Oreochromis niloticus: one gene and its partners. The protein of the gene in region 2 purifies or fractionates together with the protein of the main gene of each other region. This does not show direct contact. Links are inferred from orthologs where the notes say so. Each region holds a gene or a part of one and is shown on either strand. Other genes may lie near its edges.

What was found. Proteins that work in one complex are often made in the same cells at the same time.
Region 1: the proteins of dnajb11 (region 2) and sdf2l1 purify together in Homo sapiens (affinity purification with mass spectrometry; 3 studies listed by BioGRID and IntAct, counting the BioPlex papers as one, with this or other methods). This does not show direct contact. The link is inferred for Oreochromis niloticus from reciprocal best matches to the Homo sapiens genes DNAJB11 and SDF2L1.
Region 3: the proteins of dnajb11 (region 2) and sdf2 purify together in Homo sapiens (affinity purification with mass spectrometry; 3 studies listed by BioGRID and IntAct, counting the BioPlex papers as one, with this or other methods). This does not show direct contact. The link is inferred for Oreochromis niloticus from reciprocal best matches to the Homo sapiens genes DNAJB11 and SDF2.

The regions. Positions count from the first base shown.
Region 1 is NC_031977.2:3,585,273-3,592,793, reverse strand, and holds the start of sdf2l1 (stromal cell-derived factor 2-like protein 1), read right to left. Parts: upstream 3,077-7,521; 5' UTR 3,062-3,076; coding exon 3,039-3,061; intron 2,443-3,038; coding exon 2,186-2,442; intron 1-2,185.
Region 2 is NC_031987.2:32,688,058-32,695,514, forward strand, and holds the start of dnajb11 (dnaJ homolog subfamily B member 11), read right to left. Parts: upstream 3,105-7,457; 5' UTR 2,961-3,104; coding exon 2,887-2,960; intron 2,465-2,886; coding exon 2,308-2,464; intron 703-2,307; coding exon 605-702; intron 515-604; coding exon 382-514; intron 185-381; coding exon 42-184; intron 1-41. Other genes in the region: tbccd1 (TBCC domain-containing protein 1), read left to right, coding at 4,264-4,326, 4,401-4,667, 4,788-4,946, 5,105-5,221, 6,982-7,231, 7,321-7,457. UniProt on the Homo sapiens protein: As a co-chaperone for HSPA5 it is required for proper folding, trafficking or degradation of proteins.
Region 3 is NC_031975.2:17,383,098-17,390,979, reverse strand, and holds the start of sdf2 (stromal cell-derived factor 2), read right to left. Parts: upstream 3,077-7,882; 5' UTR 2,978-3,076; coding exon 2,794-2,977; intron 1,518-2,793; coding exon 1,321-1,517; intron 1-1,320. Other genes in the region: supt6h (transcription elongation factor SPT6), read left to right, coding at 6,302-6,401, 6,481-6,654.

The DNA of each region.
Region 1 (7,521 bases), on a different chromosome or scaffold from region 2:
GCAACAGTGGACAGGATGTAAACTTTGTGTATGATGCTGCATTTTCTCCAGCTTCTTCAAACTAAAAGTCACAATAAAGAAGGGGTGGGCATGTTTTACCGTCTCCAAATGCTGCCTGCAGAGAATAGGTTTTACCTTTACCTGTTTTTCTTAAATGAAAGATGCTACACCAATTTGTCTGTCCAGTTTACAATCACCGTCCAATATAAAGCCCAGATTTGTAACTGTGGGCTTAATATCTGGAGCCAATTGGCCTTTATGTTAAGCTCAATAAATATTCTATTCTGTGATGCAGCCTGTCAAACTTATAATGTTCTGACTACAGTTAGATTCAGTGTGGAGTCTGAATGTTCTCCACTGCTCTGTGTACAGACTAGTGACCTGTCCGGGTGTGCCCTGCCTTTCCCACTATTACAGGTGGGACAGTTTGGTCCATATTTTGTGGGACAAATATACCGGTAGAACACTGCATTTAATTTAAGCAGCTTTACAAAAACCACAGTCATCTTTATACACATGTCCCATTTCAGAGGTTCAAAAAATTAACAGACAATTGACTGACAAGTAGTCTGATAGCTGGGTGAGGCCTGTTCAACTGTCATTCCATAACAAATAAAGCAGACATAATATCGAAATCTGAATTCAGAGTGTTGATTTTGTCATTTAAATGTGAGACCCAAAAGAGATGTCAGTGCAAGCAGAGCTGCATGTGCATCTGAAACTGAATTGTAATCTTAAAAATGCATGTTCCACCAATAGACAGGTATGTTGTTCCCTCATGTAGTTATTTTTCCAGACTGTCAAAATCTGTGCTCTATGCAAAATGTCACAGGGGAACTAGAGGAGGCTCTCACAGCTGTCCATGAACCAATTTAAAAGGATAAACCTAGCTCAGTTTTGCATAATATTCATTTATTCTCTTTATAAGCTTAATGGTGCACCACGGCTTCTTCATGTGGCCCCATGGGAAAATTTGTTGCCCACCCTGCACCCTGTTGCACTTTGGTATACAGGTATATTTATCATGTCTCCAACTGAAGAGTGGCAAAAGAAGAAGAATGCCAGTTCACATTTGCAACAACTGTGACAGAACATCAACATGCCTATGAAGATTATGTGGGTGTTGCAGGTCAGTTAGAATGCTCACCCTAAGGCTTCAAAACAAGACCTCAGGCGATTTCCCGGTAGCACTGATAATCTGTCTATGCTTCAAGCAGTCAGCTCTCCTCTCATCCAGAGCCACTAGATTTTACACAGGCACTGCATCCACCAGCTTAGCTGCAGTGTTTCGGTTCTGATTCAGTTCTGACAATGCCTGCGGTCCAGTATGCACTCATCACAACAATCTGTTATTATAAGCTGTTCTTGTTTCTGTTGTCAGCCAGCAGTACAGCAACAATGACAGAACATTAGCAATAATGTATTCAACCCTGTACTATTAAACTATTTTCCAGTCTGCTTCTCTCCACAGCAAAGTCCCAATTTTATAGCTAACAAGTAGTCTCATAAAAGCTGCCTTGACATCAGTTAAAGTCTAGGCTGTTCTATGATTTCAGCTATATTCACTTGTAAAATGACTTATGTGAGAAAGTTTGACGTCACATGAGCCTAAAGTGGATGTGCTGACGATGTGCACTTGTCCCAGGCTGGCTACACATGTAACAAATATTACCTCGCCTTCAAACCAGCAACTTTCAGGGACGAGGCCGAAACAGAGTGCGCACATAGAGCGTGGAAGGACATCTGCTAGGATCAGACGATATGAAACATAAGTGAGTTTCATAGTTTCGGTGAGTGACTGTTACAGTATGCAAACCTTATAGCCTCTCCACCAAATGTGAAAGTCAGCCTAACCCTGGTGCTTGATGAGGACGACTCCAAACTCACTAACTTAATGGATGCTCTTATAAAGCAGGTGACTCTATAATGCCAAACTGCACTGATGGGAATATCAATTTCTCATTTTTGTGCTTATAGCACAAAAGCAGCACGCCCCCAGAGAAGACACGCACCGATGGAGCGAACCTCTTCTTAACTACAGCGTAGAAAAAGGTGGTCGGAAGTTGTGCTGGGTTGAATTTTCGGCTATTTGTTGGCTTCTACAGAGCTCTTCTAGCAGAGTAAGCGCAATACTGACGCCTCAGAGCTGCTGTGGCCGTACACCGGCAGCTCTCTGAACACTTACCTGAGCCGTACTTAACGTCGTGGGAGTGCAGTCGGACGTTGTGTCTGGTGTTGAACAGTTTGACTAGAGAGCCGCAGGTCACATAGCTGAGCTCCGAGTCTCGTCCTTCACAGCTGGACCACAGCAGCAGGAAGAGCAGCGACCTGATAAGCCCGCGGATTGTACCGACCACCTCCATCTTTGTGTCTCTGCTGTCATGACCGGCACTCACTTCCGAACCGTAGTGCTGCTTTCCACCAATCACCACTTGACAAGTCCTAAAATACGGAAGACAATGTCAACGCGTGATTGGTCAGAATAGGCATATGCGTCGTCACAACAGTTAACGCCAAACAGTAGTAGGAGTCATGCAGAAGCAGCTCCACCCCTCCAACGTTATTCCCGGTTTAAACTGCCTGTGCCTCTGATGATGCTGATGATGATGAGTAGAGGACCCTGGTACATTCGGCTCATCTGTCCTGGGAACTCAGATGAGCCGAAACAGACAAGATAAGATGTGGTTTTGCCACGCAGATGGATTCAGATCAAATCTACTTAACGAATACTGTGAACAGTAAAATAGAAAAAATCTTCTCAAAAGATGAAATAGCATTTGGTGATGTTTCAGGCCGTCACTGACCGCAAAGGCTGTTCCTCCAGATAGCTATCACCTGTTACCAGTTGGGAGTGAGGGGAAGGGAGAAGAGAGCGGAGGAAGATGGGACAAAGGACACACATGGCACCCACCACATGTACAATTTAACATACACAGTAACCTGTCTAGTATAGATGTGTTTATGTGATGTAATTTAGAAGCAAATTTCTATACATATAGACAGAGAAAAAATATGTTTTAATTATATATTGTCTTTACCAAGAAAGGGCACTTATGTTCATGCCAGTGCACTGAATCATTATGCTGCCATCATTGATAGTCAGCTGTCAGTCTCTGATCTCTCTTCTGGCCTTTCTGAAACTTTTAAATAACATAGTTATTGTCACTTTGTATTGATAGAATCCAGTTGCCCTCTGAGAACTGGGCAATACTTAATTTGATCCAAAAACACACTGAATGTAATATACCCGATCATTATGAAGATCTTGGCAATGGTCACTGGTGGAATATTCTTCGATTCTAACACATGCACACACAAAGAGTGAGAGAGGAAAAGGTGAGAGTGGGACAGAAGGATAAACAAAATAGCAAAGAAAAGAATATAATTAAATGTAGGAGAAAAGAATAGATAGAATCAGAACAGAGGTTCTGTCTCCTTTGGGTTTATTTTTACATAAGATCGACTCACAAAGTGTCTGGGAGAAGACGTGCAAAGTAAAAGACGTATAAAACCATCAAATGTAATCTCATAAACTGCCAATAGTGAAATTTAAACTATCCTAAAATCCTAAATCCTAAAATCCCTAAAATCCCCAAAATCCCTAAAACATACCTATATGGATTTACTGTATTTTAGTATTTGACTCAAATAAATGTTTTTCCTGCAGATTGATTGACTCTGCCTGTTAATCATCACACAGGCCATCTTTGTTTTTTAAACAGAATTATACGTTACATGAGTGGTGTGCGGTGACTTTTACACAAGGCAAGCATAAAAACATCCCATTAAAAATGAGTCACTGGAATTAAAATGTTTATTTTACTGTTCTGTGCATTAAACTATCAGACTGATGATTTTCTGCAGCATTAATTACGTTCTGCAACAGTGCGGTATTTTGTTTGCGTTTTGTTTTTATAGATTTTTAATCACCATCTCATAATGTCGCTGACTCATTAGTAGGATCAGATATTAGGACTCATAAGGATCACCATGTGCTGAGGAAAAGTCACATGATGCGTGAAACGCTCTTTGTTATGTGACGATGCTCAGAGCCCGAAGCAAGCCGCTATTTTGTCTATCTTATGCTAAAAAAGAATGGTTTGTAGGAACTTTGACAGCTACTTCACTCAGTAGCGGTTTTAGATACGGGCGGTTGCCCGGGGCGGCATCGTGATGGGGGGCGGCATCACGGGCATCGGCAAAAAAAAAAAAAAAAATGCTCGTACTCATGCTGCCCCGACGGCAGCCAGCGCATATTGGGAATGGCATAGGCACCGATCAGTTTTCTATCGCCCATTTGCTGGGAGTAAGGGCGCCCTCCGTTTGCGAGGTGAACCTGCTGCTTGCGGCACAGGGAGGAGAGGGCGGGGCGGCGGGGGATTCTCTGGCTGGCTGGAGCAGCATCTAATAACCAACTCGCAAAATAAAATAAAATAAAAACAAACCAACAAACACGAAAACACCAGACATCATGATGCAGACTTATAATTTGCACCCATGTTTTTTCGAAATTCCATACACGAAAAGTGAGCGCGAGAGCCCTCGGTGCGCCTGCTCGCTGCTGAAATCAAAGTAAACTTTATTGTCATCTCCGCTACATACAGTCCAGTATATAGAGAGACGAGACGATGAGGCTCCAGTTCATTGACTGTAGAAAACATGGACGACGCCACAGCTCCCCAAAAATGAAGCCAAAACGTCTCTATCGCCCCCTGGTGTCTGGCTGCAGTATAGGTCATAAACCCCGCCTCCTCCATGTTAGCGGATGGGACTGGGATCAGACTAAAATAAATTTATTCTCCTTAGATATTTTTTTTCCAAAGATTCTTTCTTTTGTTATCAATAGTTCTCATCATGCTGATTGATGTCCAAGGGGTCTCCTTTCCCATAAGTTTGATTCTAATTCCTACCGCGGTGATGTTAAATTGGGGTGAAACGTCATCATAACAGCTTTGACTGGCAGCTGCAGTCACGGAGAAACTTGCGTATCTCTGTTCGGGAATAGCAGATAGAGCGTAGGCTCTGAGAGGAGGGCACTTTTTCGGTAAGTTAATCGTGTTTGTAAGCTAATCCGTAACTACTGTCCTTAGCTATGACCTAGCTAGCTAAAATGAGCACTCGGCTGTCAGGGTTCGTTTAGCTAATCTGTGCAGGTGAATGAATTTACTAAAGAAATCAAGAGAAACGTTCCGGGCTACTCAGTCACTAATTACTGTTACTGTACTTTTATTACAAGTATTATACTGTAAAAGCAACAGGCTGCACCCTGCTGCAGCTCCTGTGCAGAACTGAATATTAAATATATGCAAACAGCAGCATGTTTTCAGTCTCTTGCCACATCTGTAAAGACAGTAACATTTTTTTTAAAAGCTTGTACTTCAGTAACTCCTCATTAATCAGGAACTATGGATTAAAGTACTGTAGTGTACTGTAATACTGAAAAAAATGTAAGAGAAGAACTTCAGATCCTGAGTGTGTGAGGACAGAAGAATCAGCTTCATTTCAATTTTGAGGGATAAAATTTATATCTGAGTTTGATGGTTCTGTTCTCTTTGTGATTACAGGGGCTGCCCTCAGATTCAGACCTCAGCACCACCCAGTGACAGCAGACAGATCATCCAACATGTTAACTGCAAAATGAACTGATGAAAACAGTACAAAGGTTAAAGTACCACACGTGCTGTAGTGAAAGCTGCAGCTTTATTGATAAAGTTAAAGACAAAAAAAACAAAAGGATTAATCACTCATGTAACAGTGTCACTATATATCAGCATTAACAGGACCTCAGTTTGGTGTTTCACAAAGCTGCTGATCTCAGACCTGCACAGCTTCCGTTTTAAACACTTGATGTACTCAGCTGCATGAAGAGCATATGAGATTTTCTCTGGCACAATTAAATAAAACCTGATGAAGGTCATAGGTCATCACTTGTATGTTGAACTACAAACTTGTCATCTGGAATTCTTTCACAGTTTTTTGCAGATAGTGTGTTATTTACTATAAGTGATTCAGAGTTATTCATACCAGAGTAACCACAGAGGATCATATATTTTTAAATATATAACTTTCTACAGGACTGAATATAATATCTTTATGTAAAAGTCTGGAGCCTCTGGGGAGTATCCGAGTATTTATAACATTACACAAACCAAAGATCTCCATCACAGTGTTCATGAAATGCTGGGTTTATCCATCTCCTGGATCGGGCCTACGGAGGAGTGCTGAAGATTTCCCTGTGAGGGAGCTGCTGGTGAAGATCATGAGTCCTGCTTGATCTATGCGATGAGCTTCAGTCTTCCTGGTGTTTCTTAAATGACGCCTCTTTCAGTGGGTCAACAGAACTTCTGGCACAGGACAGCTGCGATGAAAGAAAAGGAAGAAGTTTCTCCAAACCTCTGGACCCAGGAAACCCAGCTTGGTCCTGGTGGTCTCCCTCACTAGTTTCTCTCCAGGGTGAATGTAGCTGTTGATATAATATGGACTCTATTATTAAATGAAAAGGACAAATTAGACTACAATACTGAAACCTTCTGCTGATGTTTTTAAAGTCTCCATGTTACCAGGCTGTAGAGGGCTCTGAAGATTTAAACAGTTTTAGATCCATTACACTCAGTCTTATGTTAAAATCTCAAAGGACAGCATTATATTTTGGATATTAACAGTAACTCTGGGCTTCTATAGAGTGTGCAGATGATCTCATCGCTGTCTAAAAATGGATAAAAACAAACATAAGAAGTGCTGAATCCTTCAATAACACAGACTATTAGAGTAGCAGGTGTGTAGCATTGCTAACTAGCTAGCAACAAGCCTCCAACACAGCGCGTATGCTAGCGGCTAATCTAGCAAACGAATTAACAACAGAGTGATTTTAGAACTATAAGATGATAAGCTGTGCGTCTTTTTTTATAACAGTGATATGGTTGTATTTACCTTAATTAAAGGAGTCGTCAGTCGCGGTAAACCAGCAAAAAAACTCGAGCAGCCGGGATACGTAAAAAGTGTAGAGGGGCGTGTTTGCGGTCATGTCCAGCGGGTGTGTGGGCGGGAGCGTTACACAGTCGCTCCACCTCAAGTCACTACTGCGCAGACTCTGGCTCCAAATTTGCAAGATGGCAGCCTCCACAAGCGGGATATTTGAGAAGGGTCTGGCTGCAGCCACTGTCACTACCCAATCCGTACCGGAAACCCGATCGGTACCCCGCATGCGGGAAAAGTGTCTACTTCCGGTCGTAGCGTTTTACGATAGTTACGGGTCAGAGTATCTGTTAAGATGTTAAGAATAATAAGTATCTCTTAAAATGTTTCCAATGATGAAGCATTTCAGTACAATGTAGACAAAAACGAAAAATAAAAAGATAGTTACGGATCAGGACTCCCCGATCCTTACTGCGCATGTGCACAGTCCGACCGTACAAATCGGGTCTACCCGATCCGTACCGCGCATGTGCAGATGTTTTCTTCTTCTTCTGTTCGTTTAATGGCAGTTTACTCCCCAGTGTACGAGGATACCGCCACCTGCTG
Region 2 (7,457 bases):
TAAAAGGCCTTGTTCAATGATGACAACAGGAGCTGACTTACTTCACATTGGGACACTCGTCACACACCATTTCCTGAGTCATCTGGAAACGTCCAGGTCCCAGCTGGGTCGTCCTCATTTCCTGTCTGCAGTTACACTTCCTTTTACCAGGAGCTTCTTTAGCTACAGGCTTGTTACGTACAACCTGCATACAGCGGGGAAATACGTGTTGATAACATGAAAATCTACAGGTAGTAAATTAGACGATTCATTGGTAAGCCTTGCATTTTGATGACTGAACGAAGTGACACTATAGCTAGCTCCTCTTTGTGGAACAAACTTGAAAATGTGAATAAAGGATGCTAAAGATTGTTCGTTTGGAAACCAGGAGTTTCTCCACACCTCCACAAAGTTCCCAGAGTACACTTCTTCCAGTGTAACCTCCAGGTCCAGTATTATGTCATTTCCTCTGGGAATATTCCTGTCCTGTTGCTGTCGGTTGCCACCAAACATGAACCCAAAGTCACCAAAGAAGCTACAGAGGGAGGAACAGTAGCATGAGTGGACATTATACATACATTTAACTGAACTTGGTATAAAATCCAGCTGAGCTCATGAAACCAACCTGGAGAAGATATCGCTGTGAGAGCTGTGGTGACCCTCTTTGAGCCCGTCTTCTCCATACATGTCATACTGTTTCCTTTTCTCCTCATCTGAGAGGACCTACAAACAAACAACCTGTCAATCACCAACAGCCACAAGCCGCAGTCTTTGTTCTCTCCGCTGATACAACGTGTGGAGTGTCATCATTCAATGTAAAAATTAAACAAAAAAAAAAAAACATCGATGGGCTCTTCAAAGCTGTGTTAGTTTTTGAAATTGATTTTGATTCATTAAACAATGAAATGAAAAGTCAGTCAGCTGTTACTACTAAAACAATCTTAACGCTTACGTATAAAATATACACTTTTTCTTGATTTTCAAATACAAATATGAGAATACAAACAGGTGACCCATTAGAAGGAACAGCCAGCAATTACATTGAGGCTGTAGAAGTGCTTTCACCTGAGAAAAGCAGCAATGGCTCCATTCTTAGAAAATGATTAGATTTTAGAAATTCACAGCAAACGTTTCAAAAGAAAAGAAAAAAAAATCTGCTCTCATCTGCATGGAGTAGCACTAATGGCTGTTGCTACTGCTAATCAGCTCGTCATTGTCTCCCATTGTTTCAATCACAGACTATAGATAAAAGATGCTCTCCCATCATTAAGCATCAAGTTGAACCTCATTTCTTTTGTCAACCTTTTTGAAACTAGATATATGTGAGAGGCAGATCAGACTGTACCGAGAAATAATCTTCTTGACTCTAACAGTGAGCATAATTTACAACATGAAGATTATGCTGTAACAGGACTTGAAACTAGTAAGTGAGACCCTCAACCAATGAAGAAGGGCTGTTTTCCCTCATTCAGCAACAACAGGCAAAAATCCAAGTGGGGACGTCCCAGTTAAACTTTTCAGCTTCAAGGTGAACATCTGAAGAGACTACCAAAGAATGTTGGATATGTTGCTGTTTCTACAATCAGTAACCCATTTTAAATTCTGGCTTTGAAATATTTTTATTTGTTATATATTGTACCACTACTTTAGATTTCTTTAAACAAATAACAAAATGAACCATAAAGTTCAGTAGGTATCTTTTTTGTGCCTGAGGTACCTCAATAATAACAATTAAAAAAACAAAACAAAACAAAACAAAAAACAAAACAAAACAAAAAACACACAACTTAAAAAGAATTTATCTAGCTCTTGTCAATTATTTTCAAAACCGATACTTGCGTTTTATTATATTGTCATTCATTTAAATGTCCATTGACACGCCTCGACTAATAAAACCCGATTAATAACAAATTTCTGTTTTGTGTTACAAATCAGTGAACTCGCTGCGGCATCCTTCCGTTTTTAAAAGAAACGTGAACGTTTGACACGGAAACACCTGCAGCGCTTATCTGAATCCACTCCCACTCTTCCACGTCTGAATTTTCAATACACCAGCTGTGCTGCCTGACAGCCAATCAGATTCAGCCACACGGTCTAATCGTCCAATCGCAGAGATCTTACCAACAACAACCAAATTTCAGCCTTATAAAACAGTTGTATCGGCGTCTTGGGCGCTTTTATACTCACATATGATTAAATCTACACTACTGTAACCGAACACAGCTGATACTGGGGAAATATAACAGTCTTTTAACTCAAAAACAATTTCATTGTTGCTCATCGCGGATATCACTAGCATCATGTACACAACAATGGCTACACATCTACCTCATAGGCTGCCCCCAAGTCTGCGAACTTGTCCTGGGCTTGCGGGTCGTCTTGGTTTCTGTCGGGGTGTAACTGCAAAGCCAGCTTTCTGTAGGCCTTCTTGATGTCCCTGATTGATGCACTCTTGCTCACCCCCAAGATTTTATAGAAATCTCGCCTACAGGAGAGAGGAAGATAACACAAATGAGGCAGACACATGAGGCACAGAGGTAGAAGAAAAACGAGAAACCGTTATCAAATGGCAATGATGCTACTTTTAGATTGTAAAACACCGAGTTAGCTACAATCTCCGGGGGGTAAGCCAGTGTGGCTTCCATAGACAGTATGCAGCAGCTTCAGCTACCGTAATGGCTAGCTCCAAGCTAACTAGGCTAGGTAGTCACTTAAAACACGTCCCTTACAAGTGGTGGATACACTTTTTAATCAGTGAAGCGCAAAAGAGAACAAAAGCACTTATTAGCAAGTTAGCCCTGTGTCAGACTGTTCCACGCATGGAGAGCAGGTCTAGACCAATCACAGTGAAACATGTGTACCAGCTGGCGATGCTGTTTCGCCGCTGTCCGAGCGAACACCACTTACCCGGCAAGCACCGCTGTGGTAGCATAAAGAAGCAGGCAGCACACGTTACACAGGTTCATCCCTTTAGCAGCCATAGATCTCAGGATTTCTCACGGAGGTAGCAAAGAACAACCGGCTTTTTAAAGCTCGGATCCCAGCTGCCAGTCAGTCAGCCACAAGCCTTCTTCCTCCTGTCAGAGAAAGCCCGCCCACTGGATGTCGGCAAATCCTCCTCTCCCGAAAAACTCTGCCCAGCGTTAAAGAGACAGCTCACGTCGTTCTTCTCAACTCCTTCTTGTCAGTTATAACTGTTTGCACCGACGTTTTGTTTTGTTTTTTTGTTTTTGTTTTTTGTTACATGTATAAGTACAACTAATAAAAAACTGAACATTTTGGTGAATAAAAAAACCCGGACACCATGCTCATAGTGCAGGATGCAGCGCGCCCCCGCGAGCTGCGCGCAACAGATGTCTGCTGAAGTCTGAGTGGAGAGGAGGGCGCCAAATAGGAAGGACGGCAGATGTGCGTCTGACAGCTAACCAGGAACCACTGCACTCGTCCTCCTCTGTATACTCACCTATGAGTCCTTGACCTGTCGGTCCTTTTCTCATTCAGGCCGAAGATCCCAGTAACAGGACGAGGACACAAAGTCTGACACCAGAGGCGTGCTAGCTCAGCTAGCTAACTGGAGCTAAGCTAGCTGGCCAGCCCTACTTTTTTATATTGGAGTTAACTTTATGAGCAAATAGCAGTGCGCCTGGTATTACTGGTATTTGGCTTCCTTTCTTGTTGCGCCACAGCAAAAACAAGTGAGTTTTGTGCATATATTTACTGTGTTACTGGATTTGTGTTAGCTTAGTTTTGATTGGCTTGTCAAACTTGAAATTAGATGCCTAGTGTTGATGCACAAGCAGCCTGGTTGCCAGGAAGATATTTTTCACCCTGTAATTAAACGGTCATTTTTGAAGATTAGGTCTGTTGTCGCTGTACTAAAAAAAAAACAGCAATGAAAAGGTTCATGAAATGCGATGAGTTTTAAAAGAAAGTGAGTAAAGGCAGAACATTCTGCGCTGTATCTGAATTGATACACAGTTGTGTGTGTACAGAGTTAAAGTGGCCGGAGTATGAGTGACATGGTGAACTCAACAGTGTGGACAGAGGTTGAGTCTGTGCAAAATAACAAAGCATAATGTTATTGTAACTGTCCAGTTTGACCAGTTTAACTGCTAATGCTCCCCAGCTCTTTCCCTGGTTCGTGGCTAATAATCTTAATCCAGTAATTGCACTGTCATTGTGATTTAAAAGGTTTGGAAAAGTGCATTGTACTTACAGTGTCAAATACTCAAGTAATTAATTATCGGTGTATGTCACATGGTTTTGTACTCTGACTCTTCAGACATGGAGGCAAACGGCGTGAGCATATGGCCACGCATGGAACCCTTCCTACTTGGTGCCCTACAGGTAAATATACTCCCACCATGATATCAGCCAAGAGCTGTAAATCTTGTAAATAACATGAACTACTATCATTGTAGGTGGCACCATCCTCCAAACTAAGCCTACACTATCTTCGAAAGATGGCGATCTACGTGCGAACAAGGGATGGCTGCTTCCCCATCCTGAGCTGGCCCATGTGGAGGCATATTGCCTGTGGAAAGTTGCAGCTTCTAGAAGACCTTGCGTGGCTCTACTTTGAGACCTTTGACCTGCTGATAGGTCATACACCAGAGGAGAGGCTGGAGTGGGCTGAGTGTCTTTCCCAGTGTTCTACTAAAAGTGAGCTGGACCAGCAGAGGAACAAGGTTAAATAACGTTTAAATATTTAATCCAAGGACTGATACCATTGTAACCTTGCCCTCAGATTTGAACAGCGGCTGCATATTGATAGATAACCTGTGTTTTCCCTCTCCTTTGTGTACCAGTTGTCTGTGGACACTCTGCAGTTCCTCCTTTTCCTCTACATTCAGCAGCTGAACCGTGTGTCTCTGCGCACCTCTCTGATTGGTGAAGAGTGGCCCAGCCATCGCACTCGCTCCCCGTCTCCATCAGACAGAGAGTCCAAGACTAGCTATCAGAACAAGGTTCTCTTTGCCATGAAAGATAAAACAGAATGACCAATGACGCAGCAGGATTTGTAGTATTGTGTAGTTCTAATTAGATCTAGTGCAAATTATTGTATGGTGGTGTATATGAAGTTAACCACTTATAGTCCAGTTTTGTTCCTGTTTTTGTTCTGCAGAACTGGGATGATCAGGCTCACCTGTCCTTCGTGCAAAGCCATCTGGCAGAGATTTTGGAGCTGCTAGTGGAGCCTGGTCAACTGTCGCAATCTGGACAGGCCCTAAGAGACTGCCAGGTCTGGGAACAGCAAGCACACATCCTGCTTTAGGTCACAGACACAATCTAGATATTTTTAACAATAATTGGTGCTAGCCAGAATATTTAAAATACCATTATATTTAATGTATTTTCTTAAATATATTCTTATAGATATATATGTAGAAGCAATCCCTGTGAGCTAATCAGTCTCTTTCAGGTAGTTGTTGCTTCTCTTGCATCATTATCTTGTCTCTAAGAGTACATATCTCTAATATTGTAATCTGAAGCTTGATTTCTACTTCTGCACTGAATCTGTGCAGAGCCTACATGAGTGTCAAATGTTGTTGCCAGCATTTCTGCTTGTGCGGGTTAGCCCGTGTTGCTCTGCATCTCTTTGCCAAAACACCAGTTGGCGATGGAGTTCGTCTTTGAGTTGATCTGTTCTTTTCCAGCCAATTTGAAAACTGTTATCAGAAGAAGAGGTAGCCATAAATGTGTAAAAAGAAATGTCAGTGTCTAACTCCTCAGTGATAGTCAATGCTGGGCGTCAATGTGATGTGAACTTTAATAGTTACATGTCTGTGTAGTTTCACATCAGGTTACTGCATGCTTTACAGCATAGGATTTCAGAACAGTTCAGTTAATGCAAAAGAAAAAATTCTGCAACAGGCATGCATCACTCACTCTGAGCATCGAGCGCTACTCACCTTCAGTTCAAACCCACTGTGCATGAAGGGCACCCAATTAGAAGAAAGTTGGCTGGAAGAGAGAAGACTTAAAATAGTTTGTTTCAGGTAGATGATAAACTGTGGAGCTGTACAACGTTGCTTCAGGTTATTGAGGTTTACATTAATTCACAAAAGTTCTCTTAAGGTCCTCTAGTAGCATTTCAGTCAGGTTAAGGTCTGGACTTAAAAAAACCCAGTTTGATTCTTTTCCTTTTCAGCCATCCTGCTGTTTGCTGCTGTTTGACTCTAGAATACTTTGGTATACAGAGGAGTTGATGTTGACTCAGTGACTGTAAAGTGCCCATGTCCTGTTGCTGTTAAACAAGGCCAAATCTTCACTCCTCCTCCGCTTTGCTTGACAGCTGGTATGAGATGTATGTGCTGATATGCTGTATTTGGTTATGGTGCTGTGCATAAGCTGTTCTGATGGGGTTTTTTTGTTTGTTTTTTGCAGAGATGAGGCTTTTTCCTAGCAGTCCTTCCATTCTTTTTCTAACTGTACTGTTATCAACTTTAACGTTTAACATGCTAAGTCAGGCCTCTGGACTCTGAGATGTAGCTCTTGGGTTTTTTGCTTTTTCTTAGGGCACTGCACAGTCTGACACTGGGGTGAAATTCTTCTTCTTGAATGTTTTTCACTTGTCAATAATTGTTCTTACTGCAGCATGATAATAAATAGCCTAGCCCTTCCCGACTTAGACAGCAACAAGTGCTTCTCTAAGATCAGTGCTGGTGTTGTTCCTCCTTGACATTGTAATAACACACAGCTGAATGCTCCTTAGCAGAAAACTGTCAGAACCTCTGCATTTATAGAGATGGTCAGTCTGGCATTTGATTCGTCACACCTGGCAGGTACTTTCCGTCTTAACTGATAGATGAATTAGATTTATGGCTGTACATTTTTTCTTTTACTAGTGTAAATAAAACATTAACAGCAAATTGTAGCTGTTAAAGTAAACTCATTATGTTAAAAGTTTTGATTAGAGAATTTCTCTTGTATTCATTTATACTATTTGAAATATAAAAACAAGTCTGTACTGTAACTGATCTCTCAGTTATGTTTTATCAGATATCCCTGGACGCTGTGCGGAGCTTAGGTCTGCTTCTGGAGGGCTCAGTTTGCCAAGGAAAGGCTGTTCAGCCCATTCACCGGCTGCTGACCAAAGGTCCACTCCAAACACAAGCTGGCTACTCCTCGCTCACCCACTCCTTCCCCCTGCACAATCTCCTCTCCTGCCTCCAGCGCAGCCTCACTCTGAATCCTTTTGGAATAACGGCCTGTCTCCATTCGGGCAAGAAGCTCGCTTGGGCTCAGCAAGGTTTAGTAAAATCATCTAGCATTAGTCCTTCCTCACGGTCTTCACTGTGTGCCTTTCTTTGACCACCCATGTGTGTTTGTGTGTTCTAGTGGAAGGGGCCATGAAGAGAGCCAAGATAGCCAGGAACACCCACATGGCACCACCTGGTAGTAAACTGGTGCTGATGTCCCAAGTCTTAAAACAGACCCTGGCTAAAACGTCAGACAAGCTGACTGGTGGCAACATT
Region 3 (7,882 bases), on a different chromosome or scaffold from region 2:
CACCCAGATATTTATTGGCCAAGAAAACATGAGTGGCAAATGCGATTTGCCACTTTCATAAATATTATTCGATAGCAGCCCATTTTAATAATATGTAACATGATATAGCATCTTTTTACAATTTTGTGGCATTGAGCATGTGCCAGCACCACCTGGGGATACCATGATTTCTTACTGAAGAGAAAAGAACTTGCAGAACTTGTACTCAATGTAGTTTTTTCATATTTTTTTTTAATTAGAGTTGTTTTGAGATGTGATTTGTTAATATTGGGATGTTGGTATCACTGATTTGTCCAAAGTATGAATATTTGTTGTAAACTGGTTTTATAATTGAGGTAATTTATGAATTTAAGTGATCATTTCAGAATAGGAGACACAGACGGTCCGGTTTTCGAATCAGGTGGTGATGTTAAATGTTATTTGGCTTTTTGAAGATTGTGTTGAAGTTTCGAGTGGACTCATTCATTACCTGATTGATAGTACGCAGTGTGAGATGTCTAGCCAGGAAACTTTTTTTTTTTTGTACATGATGAAGGTCACACAGACTGAAATGTTGTAAGTCAATAAAAAATTATGATGAGCTGGACAGTGTGTGGAGGTTATATATTGTTCCACCCAATTATTTCTTACAATTTCAGCATTTCTTTATCATGTAGAAAAAATAGGATGTACAGTTGTAATTGCACTTCCTTTTATTATATTTTAATATCTCAGATATTAAATGTTTAGTTTTTTAGAAAGGAGAGTTTCACTGCTCCAGCCCGCTTAAGATCAAAGTGGGCTGTACGTGGCCCACAATATAAAATGGGTTTCACATGTCTGCAGTAGAGCAACAGCTACCTGAGCAGAAATATAAACTAAAATTTCTGTTTTCCTAAGGTACGCATCTTCCAACCCTCTGACACTTTGGTCAGACAGTGTTCTCACACTTTCTCAGGATTTGAGAGTTTTATGCTGACCTGAGGCTGTTTTCCCAGAGAGTTTGTTAAGTATAAAAGCTGCTGTCAACTCAGGTTCACTGCAAAAATGTTGGTTTAGTTTTGAATAAAAGTGAAAGGCACCCTGTTTTTGTGTGTCTGTGTGTGTTTACACAAGACTGCACATTAATAAATGTTACAGCTGTTTATTGCTTCAGTGTTTTTCCTAATCTTCCTAATTCCTAAACTTATAATCAGCTTTTTTGATTAAGAAGAAAAAAAAATAAAATCCATCTTCTACACACTGACATCCTTCCCCAATTTTTGCAAAGAGAAACCTGGTAAATCCCACACAAAGCCCCAAAGCTCTCAGCTTTTCCCTTGTACTTCTCGCACCACCCACCTGGTTAGATGACAGCGGGGAGGCGAAGTAGTGGCTATGGAGGTTACGTCCTGTGTTGACATGAGTGAGGCGAATCGTCTGCCCACACTTAACTGGGGTACCTCTATGGCACAAGGCATCACTGGTCCCTCGAACACTCCAATAGCTGTTGCTGTCTTCTACTGCAGAAACCCCTGTTACAGACTGCTGTCCACTACCTGCCTCAGAGACACAGTCAGCAGAGGATTGTTAAAGATATGAGAGACAGTTAAAATAAAAAAATCAAATTTCATCTAGTATAGAAGATTGTGATTTAAAACCAGTCCTCTGTGTAACTTATGAACTTTGTGTATGTGATGAAGGTTAGGTTTGCTTTATTGATCGGTTTTTGGCAAACAGCAATTCCATATGCTTGCGTACAACTACAAGTCAGTGTGGGGAAACAATGTTATAACTAGAGTTTTCTGATCTTGTTTTCTTATCTTGTTATTTCCTTTTGTGACGCATTATTGCATACACCAGTGCCAAATGCTGATATTAGGATTAAAACATGCAGGTACTCTAATAGGAAACAGTAGAGGTGGAGGTATTCAATGGAGACAAAAGGAATGCAGAGAGTTTCTTACAGAGGAAAAAAGAGTGACAGGGTGGCAGATGATCTGCTGTGAAGACCCCTACCCAGAGCTCATGACTGCTGGTGAGAGTAGAGATGAAGATTCACTGGTAAATCGACAGGTTCGCTTTTACACTCAGCTCTCACTTCATTACAATGGACTGGTACCACGGGAGCCAATCTCCAGCAATCTCCCCCCTCACTTGTAAACAAGACCCCAAGATACTTAAACATCTCCACTTCCTGGCCGGGAGTGTGCCTTCCAATCTTTTTCAGCTGAGGATCAAGGCCTCAGACTCAGAGGCGCTGATTCTCATTGCAAGGCCATTTTACTGTGTACAGGTGTCATTTGCATCTATACTCAGAGTTTATGGAGTTGTTATAAAACCTCTATCGCTGACTAGTACTTGCACATATTTAACACCACCCTGGGTTCTTGCTCTGACAGCTAGTACAGATGGAAAGAATCAGTGTAAACACAGTTTATGCAGCTGACTTAGAGGGAGTTGTGTTGGAGATGTGATTTCACCTTCGCTTCTTCTGTCTTTCAATAAAAGACCACAACAGAAACAGAAACAGTCTTAACTGTGTCCTAACTGTGGTTGTGCACATGAACGTGTTTATTTGTCTCTCCAGCAAACCTTAGAAATTGAGCTGACCTCCTAAAACGTGTCACATTTAACTGCAAACATGATGGAGTTAAGTTGAACATTATGACAAACTCACACTGACACAGTTAATGGCTGAACATTAAAAAGTCAGAATTGTATTTTTTATCCACCAATGCAAACTTAGTCATGAAGGAAAATAACTGTAGTTATTGTTAACTGAAAAACACGAGTGTTTATGAATGAAAAGATTAGTTTTGACAGCAAACTTACCGGACCCGTAGCGTACGTCGTGCGAGTGTAGTCTCACGTTGTGCTTTAAATTCAACAGTTTAATGACTGATCCGCAGGTCACAAAGCTCAGTTCCGTGCCAAGGGAGAGTCCAAACACACAGGAAAGCAATAACAAAATGGCCTGTAGAAAGCGTGGCATACTATCACAGTTTAATTTACCCATTCCTTCTTTGTAAAAAAGCCAAGCACATCCAGCCGCTGATCCTTCTCAGAGATTTTCATTATTTTTCGCTACGTCATTAAAAACGTACAGTAAGCCAGTGTTGAGTTCAGGAGACAGCGCCTCTAGCGGCTCGGAACGGCAACTGCACGGTCCTATTTGGTTTTGGGGTTATTTAAGCGTATTTTTTGGCATCTCTGCGCTATATTTCAAATTATATTTATACTAGGAAAAATACCTTAACGATAGTAAAAGATGTCATTGTGCTATTGTGTTATTGTGTTATTTTAGTTGTTTATGCTTGTATAGAATCGAGGTAAACCGCAGGGGGCGTTACCTTGCATCGGAAGAGGTTGGAAGTTCCCTTACTGCATCCCGGAATTGTCATCACGCTGCTCGTTCTCGGCCATTTTTACAAGTGCAAGCTCCGAAATATAACATACAATACAACTGAGTTGTTACCGTTAATATCTTCGGAGTACGCTACCCCACTGAGACGTGTAAGTCAGTGTCTTTTAGCATGATTATCTGCTATGTCTTCACTGCGATGTCTTCTTTTTCAAGTAGTTAGTACCAATGCTGATGGCTGTTGTTGTCTTCCCAGCTAATGCCAGGCTAACACATCGATATGCTAAAGCGTTAACTAGCCAGCGTTAAACTGCGAAGTTGGTTTGGAGGCCTTGGTTAATTTATGCAATGGTGAATTTACTTTAGGTAAAACGGCCTTTTATTGCTAACACGTTTCAAAGCAACAACGTGCCACCGTTGTACTAGCTGCAATGTTCCTTTCTAGTTTATTAGCATTGCTAATAGTCGTTTAGCCTCGTTCGTTGCTAGCGAAGACGTTAGCTTTAGCTACCGTTATTAACAAAAAGTGTTTATACAACAGCCTTTTACTTCTTTAACTTGAAGATTTCACCCGGATTACTTACTCTACCGTTATATTTAAAGCAAGTATGCTGTTTGTCCTGTAATCACGACCAGTGTTTTGTATGTGTGCGTGTGTGTGTGTGTGTACGCATTGCGACATGACTAGGTGAAGTCATTGTTAAAGCCCGCTTGTTAAGTCTTTCTGGCATTATAACACAGTGCTAGAGGAAAAAAATCATTCAGAGGGTTGACTAAAAGTATACCCTTTGTCTCTGTTAACGTTAGGCGTTGTTTGTCAACATAACACATATTTTTTATGAAGCTCTCAAAAGGCATCGTTTTCAGGTGTAATCTTTCGCTTTTGTGTGGAAGTCTGCAGCTAAGTCCTCATTTCTTTATACTTCACATAGCTCAGCATGGTGTGTAGTATATTCATAAATAGTTGAGGACAGATAAACAATATCTGGAAGACATGTCTTCAAGAAGTAAGAAGAAAAATCATCAAACACTTGACACAGGATATGAGAAATGCATCTGGACCTTCAGATGATGCCAAAGCATCATCAGAAATTGTCTCAGTAGAATGCTGAAGTACATAAAACTGGACTAAAAATCAGTGACGGTAGGGATTATGATGTGATCAATCAAAATTAGATTTTTTTTTTGTTCAAATTAAAATATATATAAAGATATCTAGATGAATGGTGGAGGTCAGGAGAGGGGTACAACAGTGCGTCTCTACAGCCATCTATAAAACACAGTGGAAGCTCTGTCAGGGTTTGGGGTTACATTTCAGCCAGTGTTGTTGGGGATCTTGTCAAAATGGATCGAATTATGATTACAGAAAATTAATGCCAGGTTAGCTGAAACATCAGCTAAATCATCAGAAAAGCATGTGATTTTTAATTTTTCAGAATGACAATGATTTCAAAACACACGGCCAATTCAGTAAAAACATACCTGGATAGAAAAACACACAGTGGAACTCTGTCATGCCAGGTTTAGAGAGGTGGCCTTTGTGAAGCCTACGACATAACCCACATAAGCGTCTGATGTTGTTGCCCACATTTATGCTTGTCTGTAGTTACATGTTAATTAACGTGTAGTGTTTCTTGCGTGGTGCAGGCCTGTAGAAAAATAAAATAAAATACTGGGACTTGTTTTTTACCTTCTGGGTCCCCACCCTTTGTTGTGGTCTTTTTTTCTTTAATTTTTTTTCTTCAGACGCACACATGTGTGTCTCAGGTTTTTCCACTTCTTCGTATATTCCATCACGTCCATTTAGGTAGTTTTAGCAATCTCCCTCCAGAAATCTGCTGACATTTGTGAGACCTTATATTTATACTGATTTTTATTCTTTATACTGTGGCAATTATTGTTATTTCTTTCACTGATAATCTTTTTTAAAAGTGCGGCGAAAAAGTAGCCGGAATCGAACTGACAATCACAATAGCTGCTGGCTGCATCGAACTCGACGTGTAGTAACATTTCTCAGGGGGTGTAAGTCAGATTATGTGGAATATTATAGCATAGGGTTAAAAGGGGTTTCCGTAGATTTCACAGAGAAGTCTAAATCAACTTTAGATTTCTGCAGGAAATCTATGTCATAACTATGTCAAAAACCCCTCTTAACCCGCATTGCAGCCTTCTGTGCCCGTGATAATTGCGGGCTGCATCAAGCTGACATGTAGCTACATTTCTTGGAAGGTGAAAGTCAGGTTACGTGGAAGGTTATGGCATAGGGTTAAAAGGCATTTCCAATTATGTTTTAAGTAACAATGCAGATTCCCCACTGAAGCAACATTCAGGTAACAGTCATAGATTGGCATCCCCAGAGCCTGGACCTCAACGTTGTTGAAGCAATGTGTGAGCATCGTGACAGACAACAGAACAAAAGGAAGCCAATATGCAAATAAAAGCTTTGAATGTCCTTCAGAAAGCCTGGAAAACTATTCCTTAAAGAAATTTCAAGAAAGCTTGGGTAAGAGAGTCAAGGCTGTGTTGAAGAATAAAGGTGGTCATATCAAATATTTCCATGTATGTTTACATTTCTCTCAATAAATCACTGCAACAATTTTTTAACAGAATATGAAGAAATGAGAAAGAAAGTAAAGAATCAAAATTTCTGCACAGCACTATTATACATTACTATCAAATTGTTATATTAATCACAAACTCATTAATAATCAGTAATAACCTGATGAATAATCTATATGTAATACAGGAGATGCTATAACATCTTTGGTAATACATTGACATATGTAAATTATTATTTAATAGTTTAAAGGGACGTTAAGCAACCTTTAAAGTTCTTATTCTAGCACAGTGTTATCCAGTATAGTGTAAAATTTGTGTGTATTTGGCTTTTGTCAGGAGAATTTTGAGAGAACCCAATATTGCCCGATTGATGACATTTTTATTAACAGCATTTTAAACTTTTTCTCAGGAACAGTAGTCATGTCGGACTTTATTGAAAGTGAGGCAGAAGAGTCGGAGGAGGAGTTTGAGGAGAAGGACTTAAAACCTAAGAAGAACCAGAGATTTATGGAAGAAGATGGTAAGATCTGATTTCTTTAACTTTGGGAATGTGTGTTGAAGTTGTATGGCATGTGGACCCCTCATCTGTCATTTCTCAGCAGATGAAGAGGAAGAAGAGGATAACCTAGAAGACCAGGATGAGAAAGGGAATTTACGTGGCTTCATTGACGATGGAGAAGAGGTAGAAGAGGAGGAAGAAGCAGAAAAAAGTGGAAGTGGAGGGGGGAGTGATTCAGAGGAGGAAGTGAGGCGCCGACATAAAAAAAAGCGCAGTAAGTTCACCTGGTGTTTTTAAAGGAATGTTAAACCTGTGTGATTAATTACATATATCTATTTAACCTGTCCAGTCAATAGAGTGAAAACACTCATGCCCCATTATTATGCCATATCACACAATATTAGTGAGTGGAAGATGATCGTGGTTACTTCAGTCTTGCAGCCATGTTGGTACCCTACTAAGCAGTAATTTTGAATCCTATAAGTAATGCATTGAAGGAGAACCATAAGGCCACAGTATACCCACCGCTTTGGTCACTCTGCACTCTGCTGAGAAGGTCATGACACAATCGCATCCATTTAGCCATCTATGTTCGCCATTATAGCGCAGGTAGCAGCTGCAGTATTCTCCTGAATAATAGGTGTTGCCGCTCAGGCAGTACTTCTACCATGTAAAGGAGAATTAAAGGCAGTGCCTGTTTTTCCAGAAAATCTATCTTTTTAAGCAGTTGCAACAACTCTCAGCTTCTGTACTGATACATCATTAAAAAATTGCAAAACTGTGACAATGTGTCCTCAACCCAGCAGTGGTGGCACTATGCATCAGGTTACAAAAATCGAGGGGTGCATGACCATTAGAAATGGTGACTTGCAACAGCAGGTGTGATGTTGGTTTTATCATATGGTGCTGTTTGCCAGCCACCACATGGTATGTTTAGTGGAGTCTTAACGTTCATGCCAGTGGTTTCCAGGACAGAAAAACTGTATGCATTAAATCACTAATCAAGTCTGTTCAAAAGTGCTGTCAAAGGTTTAGTGACTTTGCCCACAACAGAGTTTGAAAGTTTTTTTTTTCTTACCACGAATACACAAATTTACCCAATATTACGGCTTCATTAACAGGTTAATCTAGAGTACTAACATCAGAACAAATGATATGCTGATTCGAGTTATAGGTGCAGTAAGGCCTCAAAAGTGAAAACATTTGACTATATCTTTTCTACAGTAATAAGTTGAGACTCCTGCCCTATTATAATTTCTTTCTTTCTTTCTTTCTTTCTTTCTTTCTTTCTTTCTTTCTTTCTTTCTTTCTTTCTTTCTTTCTTTCTTTCTTTCTTTCTTTCTTTCTTTCTTTCTTTTTGCTCAGTTGCTTGAGAAGTACACATCAAATATGCCAATATATTAAAGGTTACTGCAAAAATTAAGTAGTACAAAAATGTTAAATGAGGTTTGTAATTTTGGAAAAGTGGTACCTTTTGCTTAGGTGGTTGAGCAGAGAGCACT